Linked DNA regions of Drosophila melanogaster. The gene in region 1 interacts genetically with each later gene. Each region holds a gene or a part of one and is shown on either strand. Other genes may lie near its edges. The genes, in order: I-2 and NiPp1.

Region 1 (3,925 bases):
CGCCACCCTGCTAATCAGCATCCACTTCTCACTCCGCACTCGCACAGCACTTGATAATTTGATATAATTTCGTTTGTTTATTGTTTTGGATGAGCTGCCCTCAGAATCGTCCATTGTCCGCTAGGTAAACATTAGTGATTGATTGATGGGTTGACATTGCTTCTAGTTATTCGATGGCTCCAGGTCCATGTTCTGGCCGGCGCTGGTAGACGGGGATGTGGTGGAGTCAGCCTGAGAGCTCGACCGTTTGGTCGAACTGCTCGCGAAACGTCCGGAGCTGGAAGCGCCCTGTGACGAGCCCGAGGGCCGGCTATCCGCACCCTTGTCCTCGTCGTCATCGTCGTCGTCCTCCTCCTGGATCAGTTTTCGTGCCAGTTTGACGGCCTCAAACTCGCGATAGTGGGCCTTACGGCGTCGCTCGAATTCGCGCCGCCGTTCTGCAAGCAAATATGTTTGAGCAATTGTTGGAATCTGAGATGTTCATGGTACTTACGTCGCTCCTCTTCGCTAAGGGGCTGGTCATCACCGGAGGAACCATCGTCCTCGATGCTCTCTGTCGACGGCTGTGTGTTAGCCGCTATGCGGAGTCTGCAAATTAGTATGTGTTTTTAGTAATTGTAAGTGCAATAATATGTAAACTACAAAATGACTGGCACGGCTTTAAAATAAGTCTTCAAATTTCAAAAAAAACTTTTTCTTTTCAAACAAATTATTGATTATGAATTTAGCTAGTTATATTCTTAAGAAATCTGAGGCAGTCATATTGCTCAATAATGTTGATATATTTGATTATCATTTTGCAAATCGTATAATTATCAACGATTGTTTAATCTCTGAATCTATAAGTCACATGTAAACAAACAAATGTGAACGGCGCATTTTCTGGAAATCAGTTTTGTTTGAAACTTGATACTCTGTGCTCTTGCCAAACCATTTAGCAAGTAAACAATAGGAAAGCTCCACATACTTCTCCACTAGCAACTCCGTGTCCAGCTCGTCCCTGTTCTCGTCGAAGCCCTCCGTGTAGTTGTACGGCGTTTTGGGCTCATCGATTTTCATGTGTCCGTAGTCCTTGTCGGCCGGATGGAAGGTCTGCATCACGTTCAGCTCATCGAACTTGGCACTTTTGCGAAAACTTTTTAAAAGGATGAAAAAGAAACCAATTAATAAGGGCTATTAACTGGGGTCATTCGATGACCTCACCTGGCTCCCGACTTGTCGAAGCTACGCGAAGTCTTTAGTATACCCTTGCAGGGTAGCTGTGGGCTGGGATTGTTCTGCATCCTGGCTATCTGTGTTACCTGTAACAATGGGCAAAGACCAGAGTGTGCTTTAGTTGCGAACAATGCACGCGGATAATTACGTCAGGCGGTTGGGAGTCATTGATGATTTCGTAGATTTTATGGTTGTTGTTTCTGTTGCTGCTGCCACTGTTGCTGCTGGACAATCGTGAATCACGGCGGCAGTAGCCGAACAGGCACTGAAATCGCGATGTTCGCCAGATTATAATGGCACAGGTCGCGGCGAAACCTCGTGCCCTTGGAGGGGTTGCCATTGCCGCCCACTGGGTGGCCACTACGGCCAGCAATGCCCCACCAACACCCCGCTGGACATCCGACGCATTGTTGTCGTCCGCCTCCGCCTGCACCACCGCCTCCATTCCGAATCCCACTTACTTGTGTGACTTTCGCCTGTTAACTGCAATTGCAACTGCGTTTCCGGAGGGCAATTTACGCCACAATCTTCAAGTTGGCAGCCAGCTGGGTTTTGGGCGAGGGCCACGATCTCATCGATGTCGCCAGACGGGCGGTTTTGATCTTAATTTGGAAAACGTTAGATTTGGCTCTTTACGCTTTAATGGTCACTGTGTGGATATTCTCTTCTAATTTGTATTGCAAAGCAAATGGCAAATCCGGTAAAATATTCTAACAAATTCTACTAGAGCTGGCAACACAGCGATGGCACCTTCGATTACATTTAATCGATACTTGCGTATCGTGACCCAAGCCGACACAAAAACATAACATGCTTTAAATAAATAGCTCAGACTCGAACCAATTTTAAAAATAGTTTTCAAAACTTCGTTTGAGAAATTCATTTTTGAGAGGAAAGAACATGCATTCAAATTTATTTTTGAATATCCTTCGGAAAGATATTTCAACGAATTTGAGTTAATTGGAGTTCACAAAATTAAATAAAGAAAACCCTGTCCATTAAAAATCAACGTTTTATATCGTACACTTTACTTGCTATTATCAAGGTCATTAAATTAAATACTTAGAAGGCTAGAAATTAGTAGGTGTTGTAGAAAAAATGCTGCATGTATCAGTCTCTCAGTTGAAGCGCTGGAAGTTCTGCTGCTGATTGAACATCATCTGTTGCTGCTGCTGCTGCTGTTGTTGCTGCTGCTGCTGTTGCTGCTGCTGCTGGTGGTGAAAATCTTGCTGGTTACCAGCTCCGGACAATCGAACTCTCTTTGCATTCGGCTCAGCGTTCATTTGCTGCTGCTGCTGCTGCTGTTGTTGTTGCTGCTGCTGTTGCTGCTGCTGTTGCTGCTGTTGTTGCTGCTGCTGTTGCTGCTGTCGCTTATTATCCGACTTATCTTCCTGGTCGTCGTCGGTGAGGAATTCACGCTTGGGATACGGTATGGGGCAGCCGGCGAACACGTCCTGCGTGGGCTGCGGCTCCTCCTGGAAGTACTGATCCTGCATGGCCTGTTCGGAGGTGATGCGCTTGTTGGGATCCATTAGCAGCAGCTTCTGCAGCAGGTGAAAGGCCTTGCTGTCTGGCTTTATTTTGTGCCTTTCCATGTATTTGGCCAGCGAGCAGGTGGAGTATGTGGAGCGTTTAAAGTCCTTTGTCAGCGTATGATGTTCCGGCATCTTCTTGATATCCTCCCAGTCCTTGTCCTGCGGAAAGCCCATCACATTGAAGATGCGGTCTAGCTGATCGTGATGGTACGGATTACTGGTCTTTATGTCCTCCTGGCGGCAATGGAAGATGGGCTCCGAAGTGAGTAGTTCGGCGAAAATACAGCCAATAGCCCAGATGTCGATAGCCTTGGTGTAGTGACGAGCGCCAAGCAGCAGTTCCGGAGCGCGATACCAAAAGGTAACCACCACGGGATCCAGATCTGCCAGCGGTTTCAATGGGGCATTGAAGAGCCGCGCGAAACCCATGTCGGCGATTTTTACGCGGCCCCTCTCGTTGCCATCGCCCATCACCAGGATGTTGGCCGGCTTCAGGTCACGATGTAGCACCCAATTACTGTGCAGATAGTGAATCCCATCCAGAATCTGATATAGCAGACTTTTAACCATACCGCGGGGAACCACAACCTGCTTTTTGGTGGCCTTAGCAGCCCGATGGAACTTAATGATGTGCCACAGGTCGTGCTCCGCATAGTCGATCAACAGGAACACCTTGCGGTCGTTGTGCGACAGAAACACCCGGATGAGGGTAATTACGTTCTGATGCTTCAGTTCGCGCAGCAATGCGATCTCGCGGCAGGCGGACATGGACAATCCGGTGCCGTCGATCTGCTTCAAGGCATATTCTTTGCCATCGCTAAAGAACATGAATACTATAATTATTTATATTGTTTGAAGAGCACCCGATGACCAGTTCACCTTGTCTCCTTCCATTTCGCCTTGTAGACGTGGCCGTATGTTCCGCGTCCCACCTTACAGCCCTCGTAGTTGAATAGGTCCTCCACTTTCGTACGCTCTATCTGCGTTTTCATCTTGAAATCGTAGTCCATTTTTACAAAAGTTTGCAAATTCCACAATTGTTTGTAAATGAAGATGCCGCCAATCAGCTGTCTCCCGATAACGATAACACAGCCTTAACCAGGGATGGAAAATGGGAACAGTGCTCGCCATACCTAGCTTTTTTTATAGCTAGCCTTTTAAAACAGAAAACATTT
Region 2 (3,925 bases), on another chromosome or scaffold:
TCAACAGTTTAGTGTACAAAAATACATTTGTTTAATGCAATCAATCGTTAAATTAATATCGTCTTAATTGAGTGATAACATATGTATGTATATATACTCGGAAGCTGCATTATTTCCATGGATCACTTGAGAATTGCTTAAATGATTGCTAAATTAGCAGAGATTTCATCACATTGTACTTGATATTATTTTCGTTTCTCTTGTTCCTTCTGAAAGGAAGTCTTTTAATTACTCTACAACTCGTCTACGCATATAATCTAAAAGCATGCAAAGAGATTTAAAAGTTCACAACTAAGTGACGTCATGACGGCGCTACCATTGCTCTAGTTCAGCGATAAATAACTACAAAAGAAGCGAAATCAAAGTTGAGTATAGGACACAGCTACAAAAACAACAAATGCGAAGGATAGACTAACATTTGGCGTCGCCGGAGATGAGGCAGATCCGTGCGTCATTTCGTGGAGCTCCTCGTCGGTGTAGGTCTGGTTGGCAGCCTCGACCTTGTAGTTGAATGTCGCCGATACGGGCTTGTGGTCGGAGAGAGTGTAGTCCATGTGGGACTGATAAGACAGCTGGTTGGCACTCAGGGTAATGCCCGGATAAATGTTGCTCTGCACGCGATGCAAAATCCGATCGCACCAGGCGGGTCGCCGCTTCAAGTTGTAGTCATTAGTGCCTTCCACGAACTGCAAGGAAAATCAAATGAACTTTATATGGGTGCTAGAGATAAGGCGAATTAATTACATTCGACATATTGCCTCATAAATTAGTTGGATTTTGCTTTTCTCATGAAATCTGTGGAGCCGAATGAAGTGATTGATTGATGAAGTGATTGGCGGAAATTAAAAATTCAAGTGCAGATAAAATTAATTACACCCACCCCTATATACATTATTTAGATTAAGATTAGAAAGTTCAAGGCAAACTTTGACTGTAGAGATAATAAGATTGTATATTAGATTGTTACCTTAAAAGTGGGCGCAAAGTTGGGCTGCTGCTCCTCCAGCAAGCTGAAGGCGTTTCCCTTCTCCCGGAGCAGATTCAACTGGTCGAGCTTGAGCAGATCAGCGTATCGCTGGTTCTCCACATCCGTGCGGACATCCCAAGCGGACATATCGCCGGAGAGACGGAAGTTAAGATCGCCAAACCAAAAGACAAAGTCGTGATCGAATATCCGGCGATATCCCTGCGCATTGTACTTGTGATTGTCCACGATTTGGTGATAGTCTTCGATGCGCTCCTTCAGCTTCTCATCGTGCGCCGCCAGATGGGAGCAGACGAATGCGACGCCAGTTCCGTAGAGCGAAAGTCGAATGCTTACGGCACCCTTGTTGCCCCACAGCCCTCCAAGTCCCGTGCGCGTGGCTTCTGTCTCGATTTCTTTCATGTGCGGGATGTGCTTGTGCTGTGCGAACATGGTTATAAGAATTCCCTGCAGCTGCTTCGAGTCCACCTTTACGAACTGGTGATCGCTCAGAGAGTCCGCGATCTTCAGCACCCACGGATCGTCATTGAAGATTTTTAGCACCTGCGGTGTGGTGCTCACCTCCTGGAATCCGATTACATAGATATCGGGCAGCTGGTTATCCGGACAAGTGGTGGTGCCATTAAGGGACAAAAGGGAGCTCAGATCCTGATTTCGCGGCGTATGGGTGCCCACGTTCCAGGTCAAAAGGAAGATGCACAGATCCGCAATCGCCGTGGCCGTAACCATTTTTCCGCCGTCTAATTATCTATGATTAATACTTGTTGTTTTGGACGTCACAAGGTGGCTGTTGATGAGTTCATGGGCATCCAAAACAGGTTTACGGATTTGGCAGCATCAGCAAATAAAGCGAAAGGCGTTTTGCACACGCAACTTTCATTTATGTAACCGTTAATTCTTCAGCACTAATTTTTTAAGCCGCTTTAATTGGACTAGGAAGCGCTAGTTGCCCGTATTATTTATAGAATACTCAGATGTCGTTATTTATGTTTATTTGTCCGTCCGTTGCGTGAGCTTAGTGTGACCGCAGCACAACTATTTAAATATACCTTAGGCGGCGGCAAAAATTTTATGGTATCTCGATAGTAACGGAGCTCTGAAGCTCATCGAAAACATCGGCTAACATGAGCTTCTCATCTAATTTAGATTTTTATTTGAAACACATTAGATATTATAAAAGCCAAAAATCAATTTAAGAAATATAAAGATATAAGATTAAAAGTTGTACTGTGCGTAAGTTCCTTTAAAATAATAATACTCTTATTTCATTGTTTTTTTTTTTACGCGAGAATGCCCCTTTGCATTTGCTTGTGCTAAACCGATATTATCGGCAACTAGTCAATTGTGTGTACACACTGGCTAAGGATTTTTCATAAAAATAAACACTTTGTATAAACTTACCTTCCGAACTATTTTACTTAAGTTAAAAGTATGGCTAACAGCTACGACATACCCAGTTGGTGCGTTGTCAAATTCAGCCGCTGCCTTGCCACAAAATCACGTAGCATTTTATTTATTTTAGGGCTGGAAAACCGCCCACTGGCTTACATCTGGATGTGCTAAAGGACGACAAACTAGTACAAAAACTGATGGTGGATGAAAAAAGATGCTATCTATTTGGTCGCAACAGTCAAATGAACGACTTCTGCATAGACCATGCCTCTTGTTCGCGGGTCCACTCGGCGTTTGTCTACCACAAGCACCTCAACATAGCCTACCTCGTGGATCTGGGGTCCAGTAGGTACTAAGATATCTGGGATTCGGAGTAAGCTTATCCATTTACTTTTGACAGCTCATGGCACCTTTATTGGAACACTCAGATTGGAAGCGCACAAGCCCACACAGCTGCAGATTAATAGCACCTTCCACTTTGGGGCTTCTACCCGGAACTACATACTCAGGGAACGACCCTCTGGCCACCACAGCAACATCATGGAAGACCTGCCGCTCAGTGAAACCAGCGATGGAGCTCTCCTGGGCCTACCCGAAAGCCAAACGGAGCTTGATGTGCGTTTGGTTGAAAAGAAAAGCTAAATACTATGTAAACTAACCTTCCATTATCCTGCAGAATCTCACAGAATACAACACAGCCCACAATCGGCGCATCTCAATGCTGGGCATCGATGATGATACCAATATGCGAAAGCAAAACGCCTTGAAACAGGGACGGCGCACTCGAAATGTCACATTTAACGATGAGGAGATTGTCATCAATCCTGAGGATGTGGATCCTAATGTGGGACGCTTCAGGAACTTGGTACAAACCACTGTGGTGCCCGCCAAGAGGGCTCGCTGCGACGTCAATCATATGGGCATCCATTCGGGCAACAGCAGTTTGTCCAGTGCCAATGCCGCACATGTACACCAAATGTTCCAGCAGAGCCTAGTTGACATGAAGCAGCAGCATAGGGAAATGCCTCCGCCCAATGCGGTGCTCCACTCGCCTACTAATTCCCTATATCAAGGTCTACCGGCCGAAATGCATGGCAAGGGTGACCTAGAGCCCATCTCCCCGCTGAGCATTGGTTCCAAGTTGGGCCTATTGCTCCCGAATCCTGCGCCTGAAGTGCTGCCAGTCTATGACGAAGCTGTGGAGACCTCGACATTGGCTCAAAAGTTGGCCGTCGCTAATGCAAACGGTAATAGTTCTCGCGACTATTTGTTTAAAAACTTACTGATTGTTTATAACACCATTTTAGTTCGTCGCTTTGGTGAGGATCCGCATGACTCGAGTGGCGAAGGCGATTCGCTGTGCCCACAGAAAAAGAAATACGCCAAGGAAGCATGGCCAGGTCGCAAGCCCATGTTGGGGCAGCTGTAATTGCGTATTAACAAAATAATTAAGATTCCACCTACGATTTTCTCAAGCATATGATTGACAACACACTCTGGAGTAATATTTGTTTATTAGACTTTTAACGTAAAACAAAACATTTAATA

The links.
Region 2: of I-2 (region 1) and NiPp1, changing one enhances a phenotype caused by changing the other (phenotypic enhancement), as found in Drosophila melanogaster (one study listed by BioGRID).

The regions. Positions count from the first base shown.
Region 1 is NT_037436.4:9,834,846-9,838,770, forward strand, and holds the start of I-2 (Inhibitor-2), read right to left. Parts: upstream 1,661-3,925; coding exon 1,364-1,660; intron 1,302-1,363; coding exon 1,204-1,301; intron 1,136-1,203; coding exon 968-1,135; intron 589-967; coding exon 494-588; intron 438-493; coding exon 163-437; 3' UTR 1-162. Other genes in the region: Cdk8 (Cyclin-dependent kinase 8), read right to left, coding at 2,334-3,567, 3,630-3,760.
Region 2 is NT_033778.4:17,003,550-17,007,474, reverse strand, and holds NiPp1 (nuclear inhibitor of protein phosphatase 1), read left to right. Parts: upstream 1-2,325; 5' UTR 2,326-2,416; coding exon 2,417-2,445; intron 2,446-2,507; coding exon 2,508-2,722; intron 2,723-2,777; coding exon 2,778-2,992; intron 2,993-3,053; coding exon 3,054-3,624; intron 3,625-3,684; coding exon 3,685-3,806; 3' UTR 3,807-3,912; downstream 3,913-3,925. Other genes in the region: CG6805 (uncharacterized protein), read right to left, coding at 360-686, 968-1,714.